Linked DNA regions of Rattus norvegicus. The protein of the gene in region 1 interacts with the protein of each later gene in a pairwise test. Links are inferred from orthologs where the notes say so. Each region holds a gene or a part of one and is shown in the gene's direction. Other genes may lie near its edges.

Evidence for each region.
Region 2: the proteins of Agtrap (region 1) and Pdhx interact in binary tests that used the Homo sapiens proteins (3 or more experiments, as listed by UniProt). The two-hybrid records come from large-scale screens. The link is inferred for Rattus norvegicus from reciprocal best matches to the Homo sapiens genes AGTRAP and PDHX.
Region 3: the proteins of Agtrap (region 1) and Syt16 interact in binary tests that used the Homo sapiens proteins (3 or more experiments, as listed by UniProt). The link is inferred for Rattus norvegicus from reciprocal best matches to the Homo sapiens genes AGTRAP and SYT16.
Region 4: the proteins of Agtrap (region 1) and Nkg7 interact in binary tests that used the Homo sapiens proteins (3 or more experiments, as listed by UniProt). The two-hybrid records come from large-scale screens. The link is inferred for Rattus norvegicus from reciprocal best matches to the Homo sapiens genes AGTRAP and NKG7.
Region 5: the proteins of Agtrap (region 1) and Pbx3 interact in a two-hybrid assay, tested with the Homo sapiens proteins (4 studies listed by BioGRID). The two-hybrid records come from large-scale screens. The link is inferred for Rattus norvegicus from reciprocal best matches to the Homo sapiens genes AGTRAP and PBX3.
Region 6: the proteins of Agtrap (region 1) and Tbrg4 interact in binary tests that used the Homo sapiens proteins (3 or more experiments, as listed by UniProt). The two-hybrid records come from large-scale screens. The link is inferred for Rattus norvegicus from reciprocal best matches to the Homo sapiens genes AGTRAP and TBRG4.
Region 7: the proteins of Agtrap (region 1) and Ecpas interact in binary tests that used the Homo sapiens proteins (3 or more experiments, as listed by UniProt). The two-hybrid records come from large-scale screens. The link is inferred for Rattus norvegicus from reciprocal best matches to the Homo sapiens genes AGTRAP and ECPAS.

The regions. Positions count from the first base shown.
Region 1 is NC_086023.1:163,792,175-163,795,674, reverse strand, and holds part of Agtrap (type-1 angiotensin II receptor-associated protein), read left to right. Parts: intron 1-155; coding exon 156-261; intron 262-760; coding exon 761-956; intron 957-2,052; coding exon 2,053-2,171; 3' UTR 2,172-3,500. UniProt on the Homo sapiens protein: Appears to be a negative regulator of type-1 angiotensin II receptor-mediated signaling by regulating receptor internalization as well as mechanism of receptor desensitization such as phosphorylation.
Region 2 is NC_086021.1:109,838,235-109,841,734, reverse strand, and holds part of Pdhx (pyruvate dehydrogenase protein X component, mitochondrial), read left to right. Parts: intron 1-1,308; coding exon 1,309-1,456; intron 1,457-3,500.
Region 3 is NC_086024.1:98,687,667-98,691,166, forward strand, and holds part of Syt16 (synaptotagmin-16), read left to right. Parts: intron 1-516; coding exon 517-957; intron 958-3,500. UniProt on the Homo sapiens protein: May be involved in the trafficking and exocytosis of secretory vesicles in non-neuronal tissues. Is Ca(2+)-independent.
Region 4 is NC_086019.1:102,980,050-102,983,064, forward strand, and holds Nkg7 (protein NKG7), read left to right. Parts: upstream 1-1,447; 5' UTR 1,448-1,591; coding exon 1,592-1,748; intron 1,749-1,824; coding exon 1,825-1,971; intron 1,972-2,054; coding exon 2,055-2,189; intron 2,190-2,300; coding exon 2,301-2,359; 3' UTR 2,360-2,515; downstream 2,516-3,015. Other genes in the region: Lim2 (lens fiber membrane intrinsic protein), read left to right, coding at 1-32.
Region 5 is NC_086021.1:37,891,396-37,894,895, reverse strand, and holds part of Pbx3 (pre-B-cell leukemia transcription factor 3), read left to right. Parts: intron 1-1,810; coding exon 1,811-1,976; intron 1,977-3,283; coding exon 3,284-3,396; intron 3,397-3,500. UniProt on the Homo sapiens protein: Transcriptional activator that binds the sequence 5'-ATCAATCAA-3'.
Region 6 is NC_086032.1:85,696,238-85,699,729, reverse strand, and holds the end of Tbrg4 (FAST kinase domain-containing protein 4), read left to right. Parts: intron 1-303; coding exon 304-414; intron 415-933; coding exon 934-1,078; intron 1,079-1,372; coding exon 1,373-1,618; intron 1,619-1,792; coding exon 1,793-1,904; intron 1,905-2,032; coding exon 2,033-2,147; intron 2,148-2,700; coding exon 2,701-2,802; 3' UTR 2,803-2,992; downstream 2,993-3,492. UniProt on the Homo sapiens protein: Plays a role in processing of mitochondrial RNA precursors and in stabilization of a subset of mature mitochondrial RNA species, such as MT-CO1, MT-CO2, MT-CYB, MT-CO3, MT-ND3, MT-ND5 and MT-ATP8/6. May play a role in cell cycle progression.
Region 7 is NC_086023.1:78,403,876-78,407,375, reverse strand, and holds part of Ecpas (proteasome adapter and scaffold protein ECM29), read left to right. Parts: intron 1-1,342; coding exon 1,343-1,448; intron 1,449-3,289; coding exon 3,290-3,378; intron 3,379-3,500. UniProt on the Homo sapiens protein: Adapter/scaffolding protein that binds to the 26S proteasome, motor proteins and other compartment specific proteins. May couple the proteasome to different compartments including endosome, endoplasmic reticulum and centrosome.

The DNA.
Region 1 (3,500 bases):
ACATGGTCAGATTCACACACTGCTTGCTATTTCAAGAACTGCCTGCAGGGGGCAGGAGTGACACAGAAGACCTGTGGCTAAGACCCTGGAGCAGGGGAAGGAACTGGGAGGGGTGGGCAGCTCAAAGCGGTGACTGATAGTGTCTCTCTATGCAGGGGCTGCTTGGCGTTCTCAGGCTCCTATGCTTGGGGCAACTTCACTATCCTGGCCCTGGGTGTGTGGGCTGTGGCCCAGCGGGACTCTGTTGATGCCATTGGCATGGTGAGTTGGCGGTGGGGAGGTGGCTCCATCCGTGGGCCCCTCATCTGCCCCAGTCTTCTCTCTTCCTCACACCCCATCTTTTTCTGTTCTAAAGCCCTGCACACGGCAAGCCTAGCCAGGCCAGCTACACAGCGACCCACCTCTGCTGTTGTCCCCCCAAGACAGACATGGGGGGAGGTCACAGAACCCCAGTGTCTCCTTAGGAGAATTACAAAGGGGTTTGTTTCCCTTGTTTTCTTGCAGCGAGACCAGATGTTATGGGCTCCAAGGAAGTGTCCCTCTCAGAAATTCTGGAGATAGGCCCCTCATGATCTCAATGGCAGGAGATGGGGGTGGGGAATTATGGGGCAACAGGTTAGAGCCAGACTCTTGTGTCCATGCTCCTAGACCATGCAGGTGTCAGTCACAAGATGCCGGTCACCAGCCTGGTGTGTGTGAGGGAAACTTGGGGTCTGGTTGGGTGTCAGTGTCCGTGATCCTGTGATGGTGTTCCTTGCAGTTTCTTGGTGGCTTGGTTGCCACCATCTTCCTGGACATTATCTACATTAGCATCTTCTACTCAAGCGTTGCCGTTGGGGACACTGGCCGCTTCAGTGCCGGCATGGCCATCTTCAGCTTGCTGCTGAAGCCCTTCTCCTGCTGCCTCGTCTACCACATGCACCGGGAGCGAGGGGGTGAGCTCCCGCTCCGCTCGGGTAAGTCCCACTCCACCCCGCCTGCCCCCGGCCCAGCCACCAGTCTGGTGTGACTTCTTCCTGTTGTCAGGCAGACTTGGTGGCCCTCCCTCAGTCCAGAGTACAAGTGGAGGCGTGGAGTTGCTCAGCTCGCTGTGGCAGCAAGGAGCCTCTGCTGCGGGGCTGCAGATGGCTGTGGGGACAACTCCTTCCTCCTGTTTCCACCCAGCCCTGCCTCTGGAGGTGTGCGCTCCTGCCATGTGGGGCGTACCCTTTCTGAGCAGGCAGGCCAGGGAGCCCTGTGTACCAGCCTTCTAGACTCTGGCTCAGCCCACGCTGTCCTCTTTGGTGGCGGGCCAAGCCATTTTCCTGCCCTCTCTGACCCTGCTCTCCTGTGGGAGCTGGGTGTGGTCTCCAGGTGACCTGAGGATCCCATGAGAGAGTGCTGAGCCAGTGCCAGAGTGGCCTACGGCTGCCCATTCTGGTTTATCTCTGTGCTCACCTAGACCTGCCCGGGTGTGAAGGGATCAGACAGGAGAAGGAAGGTCCACTGCTCCTGGGACTTGTCCATGGTCTCAGGGCAAATATACAGAGGGAGAAATGTGAGAGACACAGGTGCCTTCTGTCCTGCTCTGTACTCTCAGCCCCAGCCTTCTGGGTACAGCAACTGTGTCAGGCCCTGTGGCTTCTAGAAATGGTGATTTATATGGGTCCTAGCGCCTGGCAGACAGCAGGAAGAAAGTCTGTGGGCTCAGGACTGACCCCCTCCTCAGGTACCTGAGCGTGTGCTTCCGGGGCAGATGTGACACAGTAGCCATTGACCACAGGAGCTGCTGTTTAGGTTGGACCCCAGTGTCATCTGCTTCATGCCACAGGGTCTTAAATCAGCCGGTCTCTCTGACCCTCGCATTTCTCTCATCTGCAGAGCCACCCATACCGATGCTAGGCTTGAGTGGACGCTGCTTGGTAAAGGCCTGGTGTCTGGGCTTCTGCCACTGCCCATTGTCCTTGGTATCATGATGCCAAACACTAGCCATGGCAGATGGTGGATCTGTCTGTGCTTAGCAGAAGGCCCCATGGTCTCATTTTCTCTATCCACTTGTTCCCTGTCCTCTAGATTTCTTCGGACCTTCTCAGGAACATAGTGCCTACCAGACAATTGACTCGTCAGACTCACCTGCAGACCCCCTTGCAAGCCTGGAGAACAAGGGCCAAGCTGCCCCCCGGGGGTACTGAAGCTGTCCCTGGCCGTCCTGGGGCCCAGCAGGATGCTTGTCACCTTCTTTACTGGACCTACAATGGGGTATCCTCCATTCCCTGCCACAGAGGTGGCCTGAGTCATGTGCCCTCGGAGGTCCCAGCTGAGAAGAGCCCAGTCCTAATTCTCCATGCTGCCCCTCCATTCAAGACACCTGTTAACCCCTGGGCTAGAACTGTGGTTGGTTTCTTCCCCTCCTCCCCATCACTATAACACACAACCGCCGAGCTGTGCAGAGTGTTCAGGGCCATCCAGGCCTTATGGGCCAATGATCACTGCCTCTCAGGCTACCCCAAGGTGACCCAGCCCTTCTGGAAGCTCTGTGAGCTTGTGGTCCTGCTCAGCCTGTTCTGCACAGGAGCCAAGTCCCTGTGCCTCTCAGTGCCTCATGACAGTGCCTGAGAACCCCAGGCCCAGATGCAGTAGGTCTGTCTGCAGAGGAGCCCTGACATTAAAATGCAGGGCCTCTGGGCCTGCACTAGGTTCCAGCCATGTTTGTGCTCCGAGCTGGGACCCACCCTGCCGTCTGGGTGTGACTTCGCCCTAGACTCAGTTGCAGGTGGAACATAGTTTCAGCCACCCATTATATCAGCCAAATGGGGTGGCAGAGGAAGTGCTGGTCGGTGTGGCATGTAGACAGACATCTATCCTCTGATTCTAAGTGACTAATTTCACTGCCTCTGATCCTGAACCATGAGGCAGGGCATGGGTGGCTTCCTCTAGCCTCTGCGTTCTGACCACAGTCGACTGCCTCCTGAGGTGCCAGCGCTCCCACTCTTACTCACCGGCAGACGTCTGGGGACAGATACTTGAAGACTTATGGGGAGCCGCAGGCTGAGGTGAGAGTCCTGAAAGCACTCTCTGCACACGAGACAGGCCGGGAGGCTGAGTGACAGCATCATTGGTGGGGTCACTGCGTCCATCTGCTGCGTCAAACACAATCCCATGCAATCAGCACCTAACCCAGACCTGGTTGGCATCCACACTGAGCCCAGTGTGAGCAGAGTGAGGAGCGGTAGCTGTGATTTGTTTAGGCTGAGTGCAGCACAGTGTAAACAAGAGCTGGGGCCCAGAGACTCAGAGGCTTAGAGGCTCAGCCGCAGGTAAAGGAGTCTTCTACTGAGCGTCACGATGTGTGTTTGGTCCTTGGAACCGACTTGCGAAAGTTATCCTCTGACCTCCACACTCTTTGTCATGGTTTGAGGTTTTACACACACATACAAACACACCACAAACAGATAAATGTAAAAACAAACCCAGAATATTAAAAACGTGCCTGGTGGGTGGTTAATGCCAGCACTTGGGAG
Region 2 (3,500 bases), on another chromosome or scaffold:
GGATGGTGATTTGGCTTCATTTTACCACATGTACGTGTGCTGTAATCATGGCACTTTTCCTTGGCTGCAAGAAGAATCCACAGCCCCTTTTTATGGGTGTATTTGTTTGTTGTTAGAGGAATTAAGAGCTATTTAGAATTTACCATACGTGGTGCACTTTCTTCCTCAGAGATGGCTGTATTCCAGCTGTTTTGTTCTTCTGCTTAACCCACTTTTCTTCCCTGTGTGTTGTTAAAATAAGGGAAATAAACGTACACTGCTTCCATTAATAGAGAAGATTATTCATTATGCTTGCAAAGGACTGGGAACTAAGAGTCTCCCAGGCAGCATTTCTTATGACCATTTAAGAGTATACTGTCTACATAAAATTGGTGTGCCAAATCTTCCTTAAAGTAGGCTGTAGAGGATTAATCAAAGTAGGAGGATGATAAACCTTTCAAATGCTCCCAGCATATAGAGAGCAGCTGTTCCATGCAATCAGAACGTTTTGCTAACAGAAATGTCCTTCAAATATCATTTGTCAGAGGAAAAATAAATTATAGGGTTTTTTTTTCTTTTATTATCCTTTGGTGAATGTGATTCCGTCCAAGAATAGAATAAAATATGAGAACAGTATTAAGTGTAATTATATGTCCATGCCTTTACAAAAAATTTTATATTAAAATGAAAGGAAGATTTTTCTTATCTCATAGTTTGAACTTTGAATTCCTAGCAAATAAGCTATTCATGATTTTTTTTAAATCACAGAAATGCACAGTCATTGATTATCCCTGTGTAGTATGTTGCCTTTTTGAACACTATGCAGTCTTTCTAAGACTTGCCTGTAGTCCGAATTTGCAGCAAAAATAGCTTGCAGGCTGTCTGAATGGAGAGCTAGGTACTTCTTTCTGTGCTTTCGTCATCATCATACCTGCACATGATCATATGTGCATTTTACATATGTACATAGTAAAACGTTTCTTCCATACTCAACATGCCTGTGTATATGTGCTGGGTACACACAGTATATATGTATATAGTGATGATAGGCTAGTTTCCTTTTAGTTACCTTAAACATGCTAATATGAAATGTCTCATTCAGAGCCAAAATTTAAATTTTGCTATTTTTTCTATAGTTGTGTAAACTCAAACCAGATTTCTTATATTCTCCCTTTGCATAAAGAATTTTATTAGTGCTTTTCTCAAATTAATCTTTTATATAATTACTAGGTTTCATAGATTGGATTTCAGATAGGTAGTGGTTTTATATGTTTTTCCATTTATGCTTTATGTTTTAACAGACAAATTGCCTCTTTTTTTTTTTTTCAGGGTACATTCACTGAAATTCCTGCCAGCAATATTCGAAAAGTTATTGCTAAGAGGTTAACTGAATCAAAAAGTACTGTGCCTCACGCCTATGCTACTGCTAACTGTGACCTTGGAGCAGTTTTAAAGGTTAGACGAGATCTGGTCAAAGGTCAGTAAAGTTGAATTTACTTACTGCAGAAAGCATGCTAATCTGATGGTTATGAACGTCTTTGTCAAATGCACCTTGTGTTGCCTTTAATCTCATTTTATAACCTGACTATGCTCTACTCTGGCTCGTTCTAGCACAGGAGAGAGAATGGTTTTTCCCCTACATGAAATAGACTGGGTGCATAACCTTGGGTTAATCACAGTTCACTACTTTATATACAACAAGGATTTTGTTCTTCCATGCTTCCTCTCACTCCAGTGTCTTCTCTGTGTCGTTCCTACCGCCATTCAGTTCACACTCATTTACCCTCTGCACACACAGAACCTACCAATAGTCGTGGGTCACAGACGGGCCCCGTGCTTTTTCCTAAGTAAAAGTAGGCTTTATATTTTTTTCTCCCTTGGCTTGGGTTTTCTCTTTGTTTGTTTGGCTGGTTGGTTGGTTGGTTGGTTGGTTGGTTGGTTGGTTGTTTGGTTGGTTTTGAAAAGAACAGATGAATGCTCAGGCTAAATGCTTATTATCTGGAATACCTTTTGATAGCAATAGCTGGGCAAGCAAAGGTCTTAACAACGCTCTTAACTAATTAGAGAGTGCATGGATCATAAGTATGTCCTAGACAGCACTTGAATAACACTCTTCTTTACACACTTAATCATATATTCAAAACATTTTCAGATTATTAAATGGAATTGTCTCTCCAAACACAGTTCAAAATAAAGTTTCAGAGAGGTGTGGCTTTGTAAGCAGGAAGATCTTGTTTCAGCCTTACCCATCCTTCTGCCTTTCTTGCCTTTGCACTGACTGTCAATGCCAGACGTGTAGATATGTGCTCCTTCTGTGTTCTGGATTTTGAGTGGGGAGAAGCATTCAGTCTGTAAGTTTTCTATAGATATTTTTCAGGTTGAGGAAATCCCCATTCTCTGATTTTGAGAATTTTAAGTGTGAACAGATGCTGAATTTTTGTCAAAAAGTTTTTTTTTTTTTCATCTTTTGAGATACTCTTTCTCTTTTGGTTAAGATGACAGATTACATTGGCTGAATGTCAGTTGTTGAATCAACCTGATATTCCTCATACAAAGCTTTTTCATGTATTGCTTGAATTTATTAACATTTCATTAAGATTCTTTACATATGCTGAGTTAGTGGTCTCAGGAGGCTGGGACAGAACGGTGTGTCCCAGGCAGGTCTGGACTATGTATAATTGCATGTAATCCTGTAAGAAATACTGCCCTTCCCCGTTCTTTCCTTGGGTTCCTTCGTGCTCCCAGTGTTTGTCTTCAGACCTTCTAGAAAAGTTAGGAAATGTATCTTCCTCCTGTACTCTATGGAGTGTTTTTTTTTTTTCTTTCTTTCTTTCTTTTTTTTTTTTTTTTTATTAACTTGAGTATTTCTTATTTACATTTCGAGTGTTATTCCCTTTCCCGGTTTCCGGGCAAACATCCCCCTAATCCCTCCCCCTCCCCATCCTCCCCCCATTGCCGCCCTTCCCCCAACAATCTAGTTCACTGGGGGTTCAGTCTTAGCAGGACCCAGGGCTTCCCCCTCCACTGGTGCTCTTACTAGGATATTCATTGCTACCTATGAGGTCAGAGTACAGGGTCAGTCCATGTATAGTCTTTAGGTAGTGGCTTAGTCCCTGGAAGCTCTGGTTGGTTGGCATTGTTGTACATATGGGGTCTCGAGCCCCTTTGAGCTCTTCCAGTTCTTTCTCTGATTCCTTCAACGGGGGTCCTATTCTCAGTTCAGTGGTTTGCTGCTGGCATTCGCCTCTGTATTTGCTGTATTCTGGCTGTGTCTCTCAGGAGAAATCTACATCTGGTTCCTGTCAGCCTGCCCTTCTTTGCTTCATCCATCTTTTTTTTTTTTTTTTTTTTTTTTTTTTTTTTGGTTCTTTTTTTCGGAGCTGGGGACCGAACCCAGGGCCTTGTGCTTCCTAGGTAAGCGCTCTACCACTGAGCTAAATCCCCAGCCCCTGCTTCATCCATCTTGTCTAATTGGATGGCTGTATATGTATGGGCCACATGTGGGGCAGGCTCTGAATGGG
Region 3 (3,500 bases), on another chromosome or scaffold:
GAATCCTTGAGTGACTCAGGTGGCTGTTAGGATGGAGAAGCTCAGCCATTAGTCTTTTCTCCCAGGAAATTTGGGACTTTTGCCTGTAGGAAAGTTCTGATTTAGTGGACAACAGGTCCAGGCTCAGCAATTACTCCTTGGGACTCAAAAGTTGCCCGTTGGCATTTACATAGTTGATAGTTGGCTTAATTAGGGACTTCGTGTTGATTTCAATCATAGTGGGCAATTGTACTTTGCACGAGGTAGTACATATTACTGCATTTTCAAAGATGCAGGTGCTTCATTTATTCACTTAGAAAAATTCTCAAAAGCTTACCCGGAACCAGACACTGTGCCCTCCAAGAACTCAGTCTGTTGGAGAGAACTTTTAAACAGACCTTCCTAACACCGAAGAAGGTCATATGTTGTCAGTCAGGAAGCTTGGGAGCCAAGAAAGCACCAAGGGGCAGCAACCTGTCACTGTGTAATAAGTCACTGTCATTTCCAGTTCTAACCTTTCCCCTCTGCTTGTAACAGGAGCAGGATGGGACCAGTCTGCAGGTACCACCAAGGCTTCCGGAGCCTATCTCAAAATGTGGGGACCTCGATGTCATCTTTGAATATAGAGCTGTAACCCAGAAGCTTACCGTGACCATTGTGAGAGCACAGGGTCTCCCAGATAAGGACCGAAGTGGTGTCAACTCCTGGCAAGTTCACATAGTGCTACTGCCCAGTAAGAAACAGAGGGGTAAGACGAATATACAGAGAGGGCCCAACCCTGTCTTCAAGGAAAAGGTCACCTTCACCAAGCTGGAGCCCAGAGATGTGGCTGCCTGTGCTGTCCGCTTCCGCCTGTATGCTGCCCGGAAGATGACCCGAGAGAGAATGATGGGAGAGAAGCTGTTCTGTCTTAGCCACTTGCACCCAGAAGGGGAAATGAAAGTGACTCTAGTTCTGGAGCCCAGAAGTAATCTGAGCGTGAGTAGATTAAACGGTGCTGCTAATGATGCGGTGTGTTCAAAGACCTGGGATTGTCAGCCCTTGATTTACAACATTCGGCTTGTGAATCCATAGACGTTAATTCAATTTTCCATTTGGCTCTCCTCATCCTTATAAGCCACGGTTTGCACCTCATGGGCAGTGGGTCTTTCAAGCCCGCCATCCTGATATGTTGATGGATGCGTCTTCCACCCATTTTAGGAAATGACAGTGGCAGTGTGGGGGAGGGGATGGCAAGACCTGGGGAGGTGGCTGGGCTTTTGACTTAGTAGATAAGCATCCAAAGGCCTTCTGTCCCCACCCAGTATGCATTATGATGAGTCTTAGACATGGTACTTCAGTTGTTTTCTTGAAACAAGAATCTCACTACGTAGCCCAGTTTGGCTTAAGCTCATCCTGTAACCCAGGATGCCCTCCAACACACGATCCCCTTGCCTCAGCTTCCCAAGGGCAGGAATTGCAGGTGGGTATTTCTGAACTTTCAGGGTAAGTCTCTTACTTAGTGAGGGTTCAGAAACATCCTGTATTAGCAACCCTGAATGCCTGCCACATCTGAGACCTTCCAGTTTTATGGTTACCTTTTTTTTTTAAACTATGCATCTTACTCCTCTTCCTGGCCCAGGACTTGCAGAGCTTGGAGGTCTAAGAGGTGGCCAGCCTCACCACTGCTGTAGATCATCTATCACGTTAGACAAAGATCTCCTTTTACGAACATATATCAAAAGATCAGACAGCTCCTGGGTTAGTCAACCAATTGGCCATCCATTGGAGATGTAGCCCGTCATGGGCTGTAGAGGCCAAGCAAGCAGACAGCTATTATTCCACAGACTTGTGGAGAGGACTGTTGTTGGTAAAGCTCCAGGGGCTGCAGATTACTGAGAATGACCAAGAGAAGGTTTATTGAGATGACGAAGGAAAAAAAAACCCATCTAGCTCAAGCCATAGAGAGAACTAGACTGGGGACATGTGTGGGCGGATATTCATGCCAAAGGGAGGGCACACACAGCCATGGAGGAGAACAAAGATATATTCCAAAAAGATCCATCCATCTGAAGTTCCAATTCTGCCTGAACATCTTCACACTGGAAATCCTGATTTTTGCCTCTCTGAATCGATGCCACCCGCTGTCTTCCCAGACCTGCTTGCTGGCAAGCTCATCTTTCCGGTCGCTAGCTCCAAAATTGTAGAACTCACCCATGACCTTGCTTTCCCAGCTGAAAGCTGTGAATTCTCTTTAGATAGAAGCAAAACACGGCTCTCTGGTGGGCTGGTGGAATAGTCCCCTGCTGGCGGCCTCTAAGCTTCTGCTGTTTTCTGACACAAGGGTTAGAATGAGCTCAAGAAGGCACAAGCCCATATCTACGTAAATTCTTCCTTTTCATAAAATCATGAAATCATAAAGAACAGAATTCAGAGACGAGTCAAAAAGAGACCCTGTGGTGTGAAGCATAAGAGTGAATGTGGCCACACCCTTTCTTGTCAGTGCCAGCCCTGGGCTCTGTGCTGAGGGCACAGGCCGAATGGGGAGAAAAAGCCAGCCTGAAAAAATGTTAGTGGAGGAAAATATCTCAGTTATCAGCTACTGTTGAGTATGATTGTATACCATATGTACATCTATGTTACAGGGACTAAGTGATGGCTACAGATAAAGAACTTGGTAGTGGGAGGTAACTGTACTTAGAGAGGGACCTCAGTAGAAGTTTCTATAGAAATATAAGGATGTGTGGCCTTTCTCCCAAGGATGCAAATTTTTCATTGGTGGGTTTCTAACTTCTGGGCATCAAAGCCTCTAAGGGCCCTGTTGAGACCACTAGCTATTTTTCTTACAAATCATGGATCCGTGAAAGCTGGGGGGAGGGAGGGCTGGGTAAAAGGATACATTCCCTTGTATATGAGCAGCATTTGATTCATTTTATTGTTTTTGCTCATTGGGGTGTTGGCAAAAGTTTCAGAAAATAATTTCAGATACAGTCAAGAAGGATTTAAGGTAAATTCCATGTGCTGGTGTCCACTAGAAGTAGTAGTGTGTGGGAGGGCTAGAGGGACTGCTGGCATGTTCCCGCCAAGCTGACGATGCCCACTCGGGATCCTCCATGAGAATCTGTGTCTTCCTCTCCTCTGTCCTCTTCTGAATGTGCCCGGAGCATAACGGTGTCACTCAGAAGTGAGTACATGAATAAACATGAGAAAAGGTCTGGGCATTCTCCTCAGCTTACCTGCTGCCTCCCGGGTCACCAAGATCCACAATCTTTGTACCTGATCCTCTATCAACTATCAAATAGTGAAGTGCTCACTTCCTGTATAATCTTTTTTCCACAGGAGGTCAAATTTCCTATGTGAACCATGCTTCTTAGGCAGCAGAACCAGACACTAGGTGTTTTATGTACTGACCAGTGCCTGGTGGTCATTTCTTTTATCTTTGAGACAAAACACCTTCTGTATTGCCTTATTCATCAAGAGCGCAGAAAACAGAGACAAAACTCGGGCCTGAAGTGGGTAGGTTCACAGAAACATTCAGAAAC
Region 4 (3,015 bases), on another chromosome or scaffold:
ATGAGTGCCGGCGCCTATCCACCCCACGCTGAGCCCTGGGGCGAAACTTGCAGCCGGAAGTTACAACGAGGACATTGAAGAGGAAGGGGAGGACCTAGAGGCCGGAAGTCCTGGTTCCTGAGGGAATGAGGGGGCTCAGTCCTGTATTCTAGCCCCTGACCCCTCTGTCCTGTGTGGGGAGGAAAAGTAGGGTCAAGTGGGAGGGAACTGAGACGAAGACATAAGCCTCCACCTGCACTGAGGGGTGGTAGAAAACAGAAACTCCTTTAGAGAGTGATTTGGGAATCTAATAAAACTGATGTGAAACTATCAAAGTGTGAGTCGTTAAGGGTTGATTTAGAGAAAAGCAGGCTGGGGTGGGGAACAGTGTGTTCTGATATGGTAGCCTCATCCCTCCGTTATACAGGGGTGGGAACAAGATAAATGGGTCCTTACCTAGGAGATAGCCATGGTTTAATGTCTAGAAAAGGATGTGTGGGATTATAGGATGAACAAAGCTTACCTGCTCTTCACCCACCTATGCTCCAGGCAATTTATCTCTCCTCTGATCCCTGGATAGGCCCCCTCACTAGAGACAACACACAGCTCTATCCCCTCTCTATTTTATTTTACCTATTTTTTGGAAAGTCAGGGTCTCATGTAGCCCAAGCTATCCTTAAACTCATTATCCTCCAGCCTCAGACCTCCTGAGTGTTGGGGAGGCAGACCTATGCTGTCACATCAAGAGATGGTGGAAACATTTTGCACTTGCCTGTTGAGGTGTTTCCCACTACTGGAGGACATGACGCAGAGGCCCCCAAGTGACACTTTGTCTTCCACTTCTCACCCTCATCTTGGTGCTAAGACACCTATGCTGGAGGGTCCAACCGAGGTGGTGTGACTTCTCACTATATCTGTTAGATGAGAATGTAGGAAGGTCTTTTCCTCCTCAAGCCTTTTGGAATCCTGTCTGTCCTGAACAGAAGCTTTGACTAGGAATGTGGAGTCTCTGCTCACACTTACTCAAGTCCTTCTTCCTATGGGGCTGGTGTTTTGACCCCACTGCCCCTTTACTGTTGTAAACTCTAATGCTAGAGTCTAGGAGTGCAAAAACCACAGGAAAGTGTGACACAACCGTCTCCTCAGCCACATCTCTCCTTTCAGTTAATTCATACCCTAGTATGATTAGCCCACCTCCCACCTCTGCCCACCCCCTCCAAGTCCCTCCCTAAGAGCTTCCAGGAAATCAGTTGTCTCCAACTGTGGAGAACCTGTGACAATAGTCTAAACCACTACCTAGACCACGAGGGTAGACACCCCCAGAGCAGCCAGCAAGTAAAGACTTCAGCAGGGCCCTCCCCCACCACACAGGAGAGGAGCCAATCCGAGAGGGGAAGGGAAGCCACTCAGGAAGGGAGTGTGAGAAGAATCTGACCAGACACCAGGCCTAAGGCTACAGAGGATTCTCTGACAAAGTCACTGCTTGCTGGCTGTTTCTCTGGCCCAGTGGACTAGAAGTCCAGGTGCATGGCCTTTTCCTTTTTCTAAGAGCCAACACTCTGGGTCATCTGTGTCTTTGTCCCCTAAGAAGTGGAAACCCAGAGCTGTGTCCATGGAGCCCTACCGGTCCCTGGCCCTGCTTGCTGGCTGTCTGGGCCTGATTTTTTCACTGATTGCTCTGAGCACTGACTTCTGGATAGTGGCCACCGGCCCCAACTTCTCTGCCCACTCTGGCCTCTGGCCAACAAGCCCAGGGACTCAAGTAGCAGGTAAAGGGGCGATGGGCTCTTTGGCGGTGGGTATGGCTAGTGGGAATGGACACCCAGAATCATCGTCTCGCATTAGGTTATATCCACGTGACACAGGTCTGCTGTATCCTGGCTGCCCTGTGGGGCCTGGTATCCGTGAGCTTCCTGGTTCTGTCTTGTATCCCATCCCTGTCTGCTCCTGGCCGTGGCCCTATGGTCTCAACTGTCTTGTCTTTTGCTGCAGGTATGAATAGGATCTGGGCTGCACTGGGACACCTGGGCTGGTGAATACAAACCAGCTCAGCTGTCTCTTGTTCTTGTCCCCAGCTCTCTCCATCATAGTGGCCATGGCAGTGTACACCAGCGAGAGATGGAGCCAGCCTCCATCTCCCCAGGTCCAGACATTCTTCTCCTGGTCCTTCTACCTAGGCTGGGGCTCCGCCATCCCTTTCCTCTGTGCAGGTGACTACTCTAGCCTCTTCCCTGGGGGAGGACCATGATGAGGGCTGGGGCAGGGAAGTGCAGGGCACTCAAGTACTTAACCTCCCATCCCCCCCTCTGTCTCCACACCAGGCTGCCTGAGCCTGGGTGCTCACTGTAGAACCCGTCGGACTGAGTACGAAACCTTGTGAACAGAAGCCAAGGACATCAGGGTCAGCAGGATGTTTGGAGCCTTGTCCTCTCAGAAGCTATAAAAGGAAGGCAGAATTCTGTTTCTGTCCCTCCCACCTTGCCTTATCCCTCAATTGCTTTCTTCACACACTCAATAAAAGCATGCCGAGATCTAATTGTTCCAAGATCAGTTTAGCCAAGACCTAGACCTAGCCAGGCTTCTCACCCCAGTTACTCAGGTGGCTGGAGAAAGGAGCATCACAACTTCAAAGACTGCCTGGGCAACATAGTGAGTTCGAGGCTGGCTAAGGCACTAGGGCACCAGAGTGAGACCCTGCCTCAAGGTGCAAAACTAAAAAGAGAGCTTGGGTTATGGCTCAGTTGTAGAGATTTGCTGAGCATGAATGAAGTCCAAGTTGCATCCCCAGCACCTAAGTCAACCATACGTGAGCCTGAGCTCTCAAGGAGGGTTAGAACCATGCAGACCTACCTACCTGCAGCTTATTTTTGCCCTGTGTGGACATAATCTCCCTCTTGTCTTTAGTGTCTTTCTTTCTCCTGATTTCTATCTTTCTCTTTTCTTCCCCAAATGACCACCCTTCTCTGTGGGTCCACTCTGGGGACATTGATATGCACCACACCCAAGCTCTCTTAACCACCAGCCTTTGTCACAGGC
Region 5 (3,500 bases), on another chromosome or scaffold:
TGCTGTGAACACCATAGCTCTGGAGGTGTGGATTGTAGAAGCACAGAGAGAGAGGAGAAGCACCTGCCCTTCCACTTAACCCAAATATGCTGGAGGTTATGGCAAGTCCTATGGGAATCTAAACATTGGGATCTAACATTCTTTATAAAGCTAGGGATAGAAAGAGAAACCTCAGAGACACCCACATAGAATCACTGAAGGTGTGATAGGGAGAAAGAGAAAAGGACCAAGAAGTGAGCCTTGGAGGACATGCAAACACACACACACACACACACACACACACACACACACACACACACACGTGGGTGGGGGAGGGAGAGGAGAGGAGAGGAGAAGGGAGGTGAGGTGAGGTGTTGGAATAAAATGCGGAGGGTCCACGGGAAGAATGAGCTCTGGGAAGGATGGCTGCTGGCATTGCTGAGAGGCTAAGCCTTGCCTGAGGATAGCTGAGTGGCCTGGGCAACCACCTTGGTTTTGGGTGGGTTTTTCCATCTTTCCAAGGAACCTGTGCTGCAGCACGGGTCCTCTCAAGTGTGCTCATGTGTATTTATGTGCACGTGTGTGTACTCAGTGCTCTGATGGCAGCATATGGGCAACAGTAAGGCCAGTGCTGTTTTTCTCTCAGGGATCCCCTGCCAGAGCTTTCTAGCCTTCTCCAGGAGGGTGAGTGCCATCAGTTGAAGAATGAGAGCACCATTTCCAAAGCAATTAAAGACTTGGCAGAGGTGGCCAGCGGGGCTGCCCACTGTAGAAAATTGGGTTGGAGGGCTCTGAACTGCATCCCATTCCTTTTCTCTGCTCAGGGCCCCCGAGGAGCCTTTACAGATAATACCTAGGGTAGAACAGTCACTCTGAAACCACACCAGTGGTTCCTCTGCTAGACTGGTAGGCAGTTCCTGGGAATGTTTTTAAATTGTTACTTTAACAAAAGAGGGGCAAGCTCTCAGGATACTGCATCGGGCATACCTTCTGACACACCGCTCTACAACTTTTAGCTTCTTTACACAGCTCAACTACAGGTAACTGGGGACGTGTGAGTAGTGCGAACCTGAGCACTAAGTGTTGGGCTCTCCCTTTGCTGTCTATGAGTTGCAATGAAATCAGCCTTCTGCCAACATCTTCTTTCACATTTGTACTGGCTGACATCACAAGCAGTTTAGAAAAAAAGAAAAAAGGAAAAAACCCAAACCTCTATTCTACCTTATGGAATCAGCCATTCCTCTGCATTTGCTTTTGACCTTACTGAGCTGGCTTGAGTTTTCAGGTTGAGGCTTCCCACAGTCACTGGCAGAGCCTGAGCAGCCATCTTGGCAGACGTGCAGTGTCTTCCAAGGCAGGAGACAAAGGGATTGTTCATCCATTATTAATTGATGTCCCTCTTCAGCAGACCAAACATGATACTACTATATAGGTGCCAGGATTGTTTCAGGCCCACAAAAGAACAATGAGTCATTCTTTTCAAGTGTGCTTCTTAATACCCAATTTAACAAATGCCTCCTGTAGCTTTTCAGCTTTTTTAGTAGTCTGATTGCTATGCTTGATGCGCACATAACAATTGGGTGTTTTGATGAGCAGTACTCCCAGCCATTTTAGTGTTCCCATGGCCAACTCCAAGAAGCATTGTTCAAAAGACTATGCCAAAGTGGAAAGTGAACCCCTAAAATCATTATGCACTACTTATGTGGTGCAAAGTGGCAGACAGGGCACTGTGTTACCCAGAGCTTCTCGTTATCCCATAGCAAGGACAGGAAGTTTGGCTTTTTCTTTGTGACTTCTCTACCCTTCCTATTTCATGTCCTGTCCTTGATAGGTATCCAACTGGTTTGGCAACAAACGAATCAGGTACAAGAAGAACATCGGCAAATTTCAAGAGGAGGCCAATCTCTATGCTGCAAAAACAGCCGTGACAGCCGCACACGCAGTGGCCGCAGCCGTGCAGAACAACCAGACCAACTCACCCACCACGCCAAACTCTGGTGAGTATGGCATGCGCACTCCCTACGCAGCCAGACAGGCATCTGCCACAGGCTCTGAAGCTTCAGCCTCACTGGGTGCACAGTGGGCCTTTCAGGAGAGATTTGTATTCGCTTATAGGCTTGTTCTGGAGATGGGTAGATAAGGGGCCAGCCTGTGCTGGGAAACCCACTGTTCACAGCGAATGCCACTCGCTCCTGTAGATGCTAGAACCTTTATACTCAGCCATGGCCTTTAATTCAGCAGATACGCAAAGTTCTATCATATAATGTTCCGCCTATCACCTTAGGGTCATTGGTGGTCTGTCAGACTGAAGCAGCAGGTATGTACTGGTTGGTAGGGAAGCTGAATGCTGGGTTGGGACGTTGCTGTGCTTCCTGTGCTCTTGGCTTCAGGCTCTAGGTCGCAGCCTGTCTGTGCCAGGTGACTTGCTGAACTTGCATATAAAGGAATGATTTTTTTGTTTTGTTTTTGTTTTTTGTGGTAGTGGGGCTTAAACCCGGGGCTTTGCATATGCAAAGTTTATGACTAGCCATTATTTTTTAAAGATAGTCTTACTAAGTTGTCCAAAAAAGCCTTGAACTCACTTTGTAGCTGTCTGCCCTCAAACTTGTGATTCCTCTGCCTCAGCTGACTAGGTGGGATTGCATGTGTGTGCCACCACAGCTGGCTATAAATGCACTATTTTTGACTCCTTACACAGAACATTCCATTTAAATTTTATGTGGCATTCATGGAGTTTGAAGAATGTCTTTAAATTACAGGGAACTTGGCTGGCAGCGGAAGGTGCAGCTAACCCTAGTAGAAGAGTTGGAGGGCCTCGGATGCTTTCTAGGGAGATTTTAAAATATACATTTAAAGGTCCAGGGAAGGTTGTCTGTTTTATTATACCCCCATCATTTCTACTGGGCCACAGACACTGGTGAGTGGAAACATAGAGTTATATCTAGGAGAAAGTGTCAGGAAAGTGTCTTCTCCAGGTAGTTCTCCACCATGACACTGAACATTGAAGAGCTTGTTTGATTAAGTCTGGAGAGAAATGGAAACAAGGAGAAGGCTGGGGCCAGCTCCTGGGTGCTTTCTGCCTATTTTGATTCGTTTCTGGTTTTTCACTTGGGTTCACCCTCTATAATGTTCTTCCTGTGTATAGTGTGAGTAGCAGGACCTTCTAGAGCTGAGTTAACGTTCTGTCCTTCTAAAGCTGGAAATGCCTCTCCCTTCTGCCTCTTTTCCTTTCCCTACCTCGAGGTCTTTGGGGATTGTGTATGTAGCTCTCTGTTATTCAGCTACTTAACTCTTTCCTTTCCAGGTTCTTCTGGTTCTTTTAACCTCCCAAATTCTGGGGACATGTTCATGAACATGCAGAGTCTGAATGGGGATTCTTACCAAGGGTCCCAAGTCGGAGCCAATGTGCAGTCACAGGTAGGAGAAATGCCCCAGCTGGGGCCTTTCTGGCAGGGTAGGGTTTGGGTTCAAAACTCCCCGCTCTGACCCGTGAAAGTGGTCTGCACATCTATGCAGCACCT
Region 6 (3,492 bases), on another chromosome or scaffold:
ATCCCTGAGCTCAGTCTGATGGTTGGCTCTGAGCATCCACATCTGCCTTGGTCAGTTCTGGACCTCCCAAGGAGCAGCCATAGCAAGTGGGGAGACACCCCTGTATTTCCGACTACTGACCACTCTGAGTAGAATTGTATGAGTACATGATGCCTGTGTGCGCATGTCCTGTGGCCAGCAGACAATTTCTAAAGCCACTGTCAGGGAGTTGAACTCTGAAGCTGCTACTGGGTGAACAGTTTTGAGCTCTAGACAGGGAGAAAATGGCTGCTGGGCCCTTACTTTGTCCCTCTAATGTCTTAGCACCTCCTGAACAGCGCTCAGGATGTCTCCCTGTCCCATCTGTGCAGCGTTCTTCTTGCCTTTGCCCGGCTGAACTTTCATCCTGAACAAGAGGATCAGTTTTTCAACTTGGTACGAGCACCAAACACTGCTTCTGACACACTGACTTAGGGCTCGGGCTACTGCCTAGAGTGGGGGTTGGGAGTGGGCACAACATTTGACTTGGAGAAATAGGCAGCATCCCAGAGACCACTGGAGAACATGCAAACTACTGGGACATTGCCTGGGGTGATTTTGAGGGCAGCCAGCCAGGGGCAGCAGCTATGTGGACACCTAGGTGACCTGCCCAGACATTCTTCCTTCATCACAGTGCCCACTAGGGACTATCACGAGGGATTTGAGACCTTGGGTCCCTGCTCGTGGGCAGGGTGTGAGTGAAATAGCTAAACAAACAGCTCCGGGCTTGAGGAAGATTCCTATACCTCAGCCTGGGTTGGTGTGGGCTTTACCAAGTCAGGACTTTGGTCTTGCTTTCCAGTAGCTGTCCCTCGCTCCAGTATGGCAGGTCAAGAACACAGGTTGGCTTCAGACTTTCCTAGGGTGTTGTGGTCGCTGGCTGACCCTGCTTTCTTCTCTGTGCTCCTTGCTCAGGTGCATGAGAAGCTGGACTCCGTGCTGGGGAGCCTGGAGCCAGCCCTGCAGGTGGACCTGGTGTGGGCCCTGTGTGTGCTACAGCAAGTGCAGGTAGCAGAGCTGCAAACAGTTCTCCATCCTGGGCTCCACACACGCTTTCTAGGTGAGACTGCTCTCCTGCACACAGCATGGGCATGCACTCCCATGGAACATGGAGGCCTTCTGCTCTACCAGCCAGGGAAGACACTAGAGCAGAGACAGAGGGCAGAGCACACAAAGCACAGCCTCGTGATTTGTGATTTTTTTTTTTCCGACCACTCCCTGCAGTTGGCCTACAAGCTTAACTGTGGGACACCAGCCTAAGACGGGGTGGGAGCTCCCAATGCTACTCTATGTCTTGTGGTCCCCCTTTCTGTACCCAGTACTGTACATCAGCCTACCTTCTCTCCTCCCCCAGAGAGCAAGTCTCCAAAGGACCAGAGTACCTTCCAGAAATTGGTCCACATCAACAGCACTGCCCTGCTGGAGTACCCTGAATATAAAGGCCCTTTCCTGCCAGCCTCAGCTGTAGCCCCCAGTCCCTCACCCTCCAACAAGAAGATGACACCCCTACAGAAGGAGCTGCAAGACGCACTGAAGGCACTGCTGGGGAACAATGACACAGGCAGCCTGGAGGTGGCCACACAGTATGGCTGGGTGCTGGGTAAGGGCTCCCTTCCGCTGGGAGAGGGTCTAGTCTAACAGGCCCTTTGTAACCCTGCATGGTATAGCAAGAAGCAGCACAGAGAACAGCGGGTACCTCCCTCTAATGCCTGCTTGTGGGTACACTGTGGGGTGTCTGAGGCCTCACCTCCAGGCTCATCCTGTTCCCCTGCAGATGCAGAGGTGCTGCTGGATGCTGAGGGCCACTTCCTGCCCCTGAGAGATTTTGTTGCTCCTCACCTTGCCCAGCCAGTTGGGAACCAGCCACTACCCCCGGGAGCTAAAAGGTATGTGGCCAGAGATCCCTGGTCATGCCCTCGGAAGGGATTCAGCAGCACTGCTGTTCTTAAATGCCTTTTAACTCCTCGGCCTTAGTCCGGGAACGCGCTTTATAAGTACCCTTGTCTCCTGCTAGAATCGCTTTCCTACGCTGGGAGTTCCCCAACTTCAACAGCAGAAGCAAGGACTTGTTGGGGCGTTTTGTCCTGGCCCGTCGACATGTGCTGGCTGCAGGCTTCCTAGTGGTGGATGTGAGTACCTGGAGAACAAGGGTCACTGCAGAGGGAGAAGCCCCTAGAGCTAGAAGGATATGGGTGGATACTCAGCTCTCAGGCCTAAGCTAGGCACCTCTCCCCTACCCCACCCCACTCTACGCACACAAAAGCTTAGCTTGCCTCCTGTGAGCACATCACACTGAAAGTTCAGTACAGCCACGGGATCCCTTGCTCTGCCATTAGAGCTAGGGCTTGGACCTGTAACTGTGCTGCTGTGTGGCTATGTGTGGCTTCAGATCACATGTGCCGTGTTGAGTCTCCTGCAAAGAGAAACTTCATAGCTTTGCCACATTTTCTTCAGTAGCCTTGCTGGGACCTATCTGGTTTGCAATCTCTTTGCCCTGCCAGCCAGCATCTTTCCATGTGCATAGCCTTACACTCTGCACTCTTCCTGAGGACTTTGAGGCCAAGACCTGGGTGTTTAAAGCTGTCAGTCAACAGCTCTGTCAGAGTGGGAGGGGCCCCTGGACATGTAAAGGCGGGAAAGGATTCCACAGTCCATGTGACTGTCTGTACTACCTTCTTCCAGGTCCCATATTATGAGTGGCTGGATTTGAAGTCTGAATGGCAGAAAACCGCCTACCTCAAGGACAAGATGCGAAAAGCAGTGGCTGAGGAGCTGGCCAAGTGACCTTTCCCATCTGTTCAGACTGCATCTCAAGACCTGAGGGCTCAGGGACCCAGACCCAGCAGTGAGTGCTGGGCCGGCCAGAGTTGTCACCCATCAGCGAGATGAACTCTCTGTAGGACCTTGGCCACAGTAGGGGGTGCTCAGCAGCTCCCAGGGCAGGCGGTCCTAATAAATCACTTGTTTTGGTGGATGCCGGGTCTCTTCCCAGGCTCTGTAGTATCTGTCTCCTCGTTCCCTTATTTTGGACACACACACACACACACACACACACACACACACACACACACACACACACCTCCACTTCCCTGGCTCTCCAGGATTCTACCGAGTGTACTCTCCTCCTCCACTTCCCCAATAATAGGCTGGTGTGGCACAGCAGAGGGGGGACTTGAGAGACAGAAAACCTAGGCCTTAAATGGGTAGGGTCCTAGACACTTGGGCTTCCCAGGAAGTGTGTGTACTTGAGTGTATAGCAGAGTTGCAGTTACTGTCCTGCAAGGTTCCCTCCCTTACCATGTCACTAAGAGAGTATCTGAAGGGAACAGGTGCTGTGAAGGCATTTGGAAGACCCTAGTTCTGGGACAAGAGTAAAGTCCACTTGGCTGAAAACAAGATCCTTGGCCAGACTGTCACTCTCAGGACTACCACAGCCTACTCCGAGACCGCCCTTCCAGTGGAGCCCTGGGTCCT
Region 7 (3,500 bases), about 85 Mb from region 1:
AAGTTTTGTTAACTTTGAATTCGTAGCTATTCTCTGATAAACTCACAATAAATATTAAGAGTTCCTTCCTTCTAAAGTCGCCTGCCTTGCCGTCATGTCTTCAGTAAGCAAGTGATAGCTGTTTTATTGAGAAACTCATGACAGAGATTTTCAGAATTAAACATATATTTACAGAAAATTGAATAGTAAGCCATGATTATTAGTTCAAGTTATAGTTACAACCTATTGACAAGGCCATTACATTTAAACAGGTGCTATTTAAGTTTGTCTTGTTCTGGGAACTATACTCTGTCCCAATGACAGTCTTTGTGTTAATTATTTGTAAACTCAGGCATAACATTTTCTTTGAGCCTATCATTCTTTGTTTAACATATGAAGAATTTCCTAAAGAAACTATCACTTTGTGAGTAGTATTATGGATTATAGTAGAAGTTGGATTGCTTGATACCATTAGCATGAATGACTGTTGCTTAATAGCCAGAGAAAGTTGAAAAAGGGAATTCCATAGGAAAGATAGCATTCCACGCGAAGAGTTTTAACACAAGACATGGAAAATGTACGTTAGTTTACCAGACACTGAGTAGAGCCAAGGGTGTTCTCTAAGAATGTCAGCGTTGCATACGAGCTTCTCACACTTCATAGTGTCAGCGGGAATTCCTGGGTTTTGTCTTTTTAAATTAGAGAAACAAATTACAAGCCGATAGGGGTAGAATTTTTACCCCTTCCTCTCATGTTTTATATTTTAACCTTATTAAATTTTATAGTAGATATCCAATTTATGACCTGCCCTTTGGCCGTGTGCCAGCAGGGTAGCTATGAATGTGGCCTGACATGTTGAAGTGACCGAAGTTTGGAAAGCCCTGTTCAAAGCATTTAAAATCAACTTCTATTTTTTATTTTTGTTGAGTTTATTCTCCTATCAGTATATTAATTGTATAATGATGGTGACAATTGTGATCAGACTAGCTTACGATAAAAGACAACTGACCATTGATAAACCCACAGTTGGAAGAGTATTTAAGGGTACTTAAGGGTTCCAGACCTTTTGGTTTTATTAAGGGAATTTACAAGGGAAGGGGAGTGTAGCTAAGCTATTGTCTCTATTTTATGGAGGGCAAAATGCCTTAAGATCAAATCATTAGAATACATTCGTGTGTGTGTGTGTGTGTGTGTGTGTGTGTGTGTGTTAATGTTAATGGCTTAGGGAAAATTCCATGTCTTTAGTTAAATTGCCCTCACATTACTCCACTTTAGTCTTTGTCTAATGCTACTTTCTGTTTTTTTCTCCATCCTTTGTTATCTTACATATTTCTTCCTCTTTCCCACTTGGTCATCTGCCTAGGTTGTTATCGTCAGGAGATGTGCAAACTGATGTGTGAGCGGCTAAGACTCAGCACATGGAAAGTGCAACTAGGTGTCCTCCAGTCAATGAACGCCTTTTTTCAGGGGTAATGTGCTTCATGATTCAGGTTTTTATTTTATCTCCCTATTGAATGGATTCCTTAACCTTTACACATTCTTCTTTCAAAACAGAAAAGATTCTTTTCTCATACAGTATATCCTAATTATAGTTTATTCTCCTTCTACTCCTCCCCGTTTCTCCCCACTTTCCCTCTCCTCTTATCCACTCCGTTTATGTCTCCCATAAAGCTCTCTTTAGGCTTCTAAGAGATAACAACCAAACATGACAAAATAAAATACAATAAGATGAAACAAAAACCATCACAGCAACCCAGTGGGAAGAAAAGAGTCCCAGGAGCCATCACAAGAGTCAGAGAGCCACTCGCTCTCCTAGTCAGGAACCCCATAGAATTTTAAGCTAGTAACTGTAAACTATACGCAGTGGACAAGCTGTAGAGCCATAAAGCCCTGTGCTTAGTGTTCCAGTCTCCGTGAGCTCATATGGCTCTTACTTGAAGTTGGTGTCCTCCTCCCTTCTTGCTCTTAACAGTTTTTCTACCTCTGCTTCCTAGGAATTTCCTGAGCTCTAAGGGGAGGGATTTGATGGAGACCTCCCATTTAGACTCTTTCCCCACATTGTCTGGCTGTGGGTCTCTGCATCTGTTCCCATCTGCTTCTGGTGGAAGCCTCTCTGTTGATGACTAGATAAGGCACTGATCCATGAGTATAACAAAATATCACTAGGAGTCATACTATTGATACTTTGATACTTTTTATTTTCTTCTTAGACCAGTAGTGTTTGGTTTTATGCTAGGTCTCTGGGCTATCTAGTCTCTTTGTTCTTGGTTACCCAAGCAGTGTTGGATATGGGTTCCTTCTTATGGAGTGATACATAAGTCAAATCAGACATTGGATGGATTCTCCCACAAGTTCTGTGCCACCATTGCCCTAACATATTTTGCAGGGAGGACAGATTTTAGATCAAACGTTTTATGGCTAGGTTGTTGACATTTCTATTTTGGTAGATTGCTGTGTACCTTCCCACACCAAAGAGACAAGAACGTAAGGGTGAAGGCTTCATGTAGGCACCAGCTCATCTTCACCATGTTAATGAGTTGTGTGGATGTTGTCCTCTGCATTGGGGCCCTGATTTTAGTTTGCAGAGAGCCACCCTTTGTCTTAACAGCAACTTGGGTAGTTTGGGGATTTCCATGGGATCCCCTTGACCAACAGCTCAATTGAATACAACCCAGTCCTGCTACTGGGATCCTTGCCTGGCAACAAGAGATGACCAGCTGAGACTCTATCCCATTACTAGGAGTCCTCATTACGATCACCTCCATAAATTCCAGGTTTCCACTGCACTAGGTTTTTACATCACCGTATGAATGCCTACCGGTTTCAGCCATTTCTCCCCATATTTTCCTCTATCTCCCCCACACCTTGCCTTTCCCTGCCTGCTCCCATCCTTATTCTCTCCCAATCTGCCTGTAAATCCAATTTTCCCCTCCCAGGGAGATCCATGCATCTCCTCAGACTTCTCTTTACCTAACCTCTCTGAGTCTATGGATTGTAGCTTGGTTATCATTTACTTAATGGTTAATATCCACTTATAAATGAGTATATATAAAATTTATCTTTTTGGATATAGGCTACCTTATTCAGAATGATTTCCTAATTTCATCCATTTGCCTTCAAACTTCATGATGTCATTTTTTTTAAACAGCTGAGTAAGACTCCAATGTGTAAATATACACATTCTTATGATCAGTTTAGCTATTACAAGTGTCTCAGATAACATGGTAAGATGTCATGTACAGATAGAAGTTATGTTAGGCAGGATTTAAATGGTTAAGAGTCGCATTATACATCACTTTCACACTTACAGGTTAATGCTTCTGGAAGAAGAGCATGCAGATCCTGAAGCTCTGGCTGAGATTCTTCTTGAAACTTGTCAGTCAATTACGTATTCTTTAGGTGAGCAAGTAACAAGAACTTGAGTGATTTGTTGTTGTTGTGGCTGTTGTTTATTTTGTTCTTGGTGTTTATGATCAGGCACAGTCCCTCATGCGGCCACTCTACCACTGAGCTGCACCCTC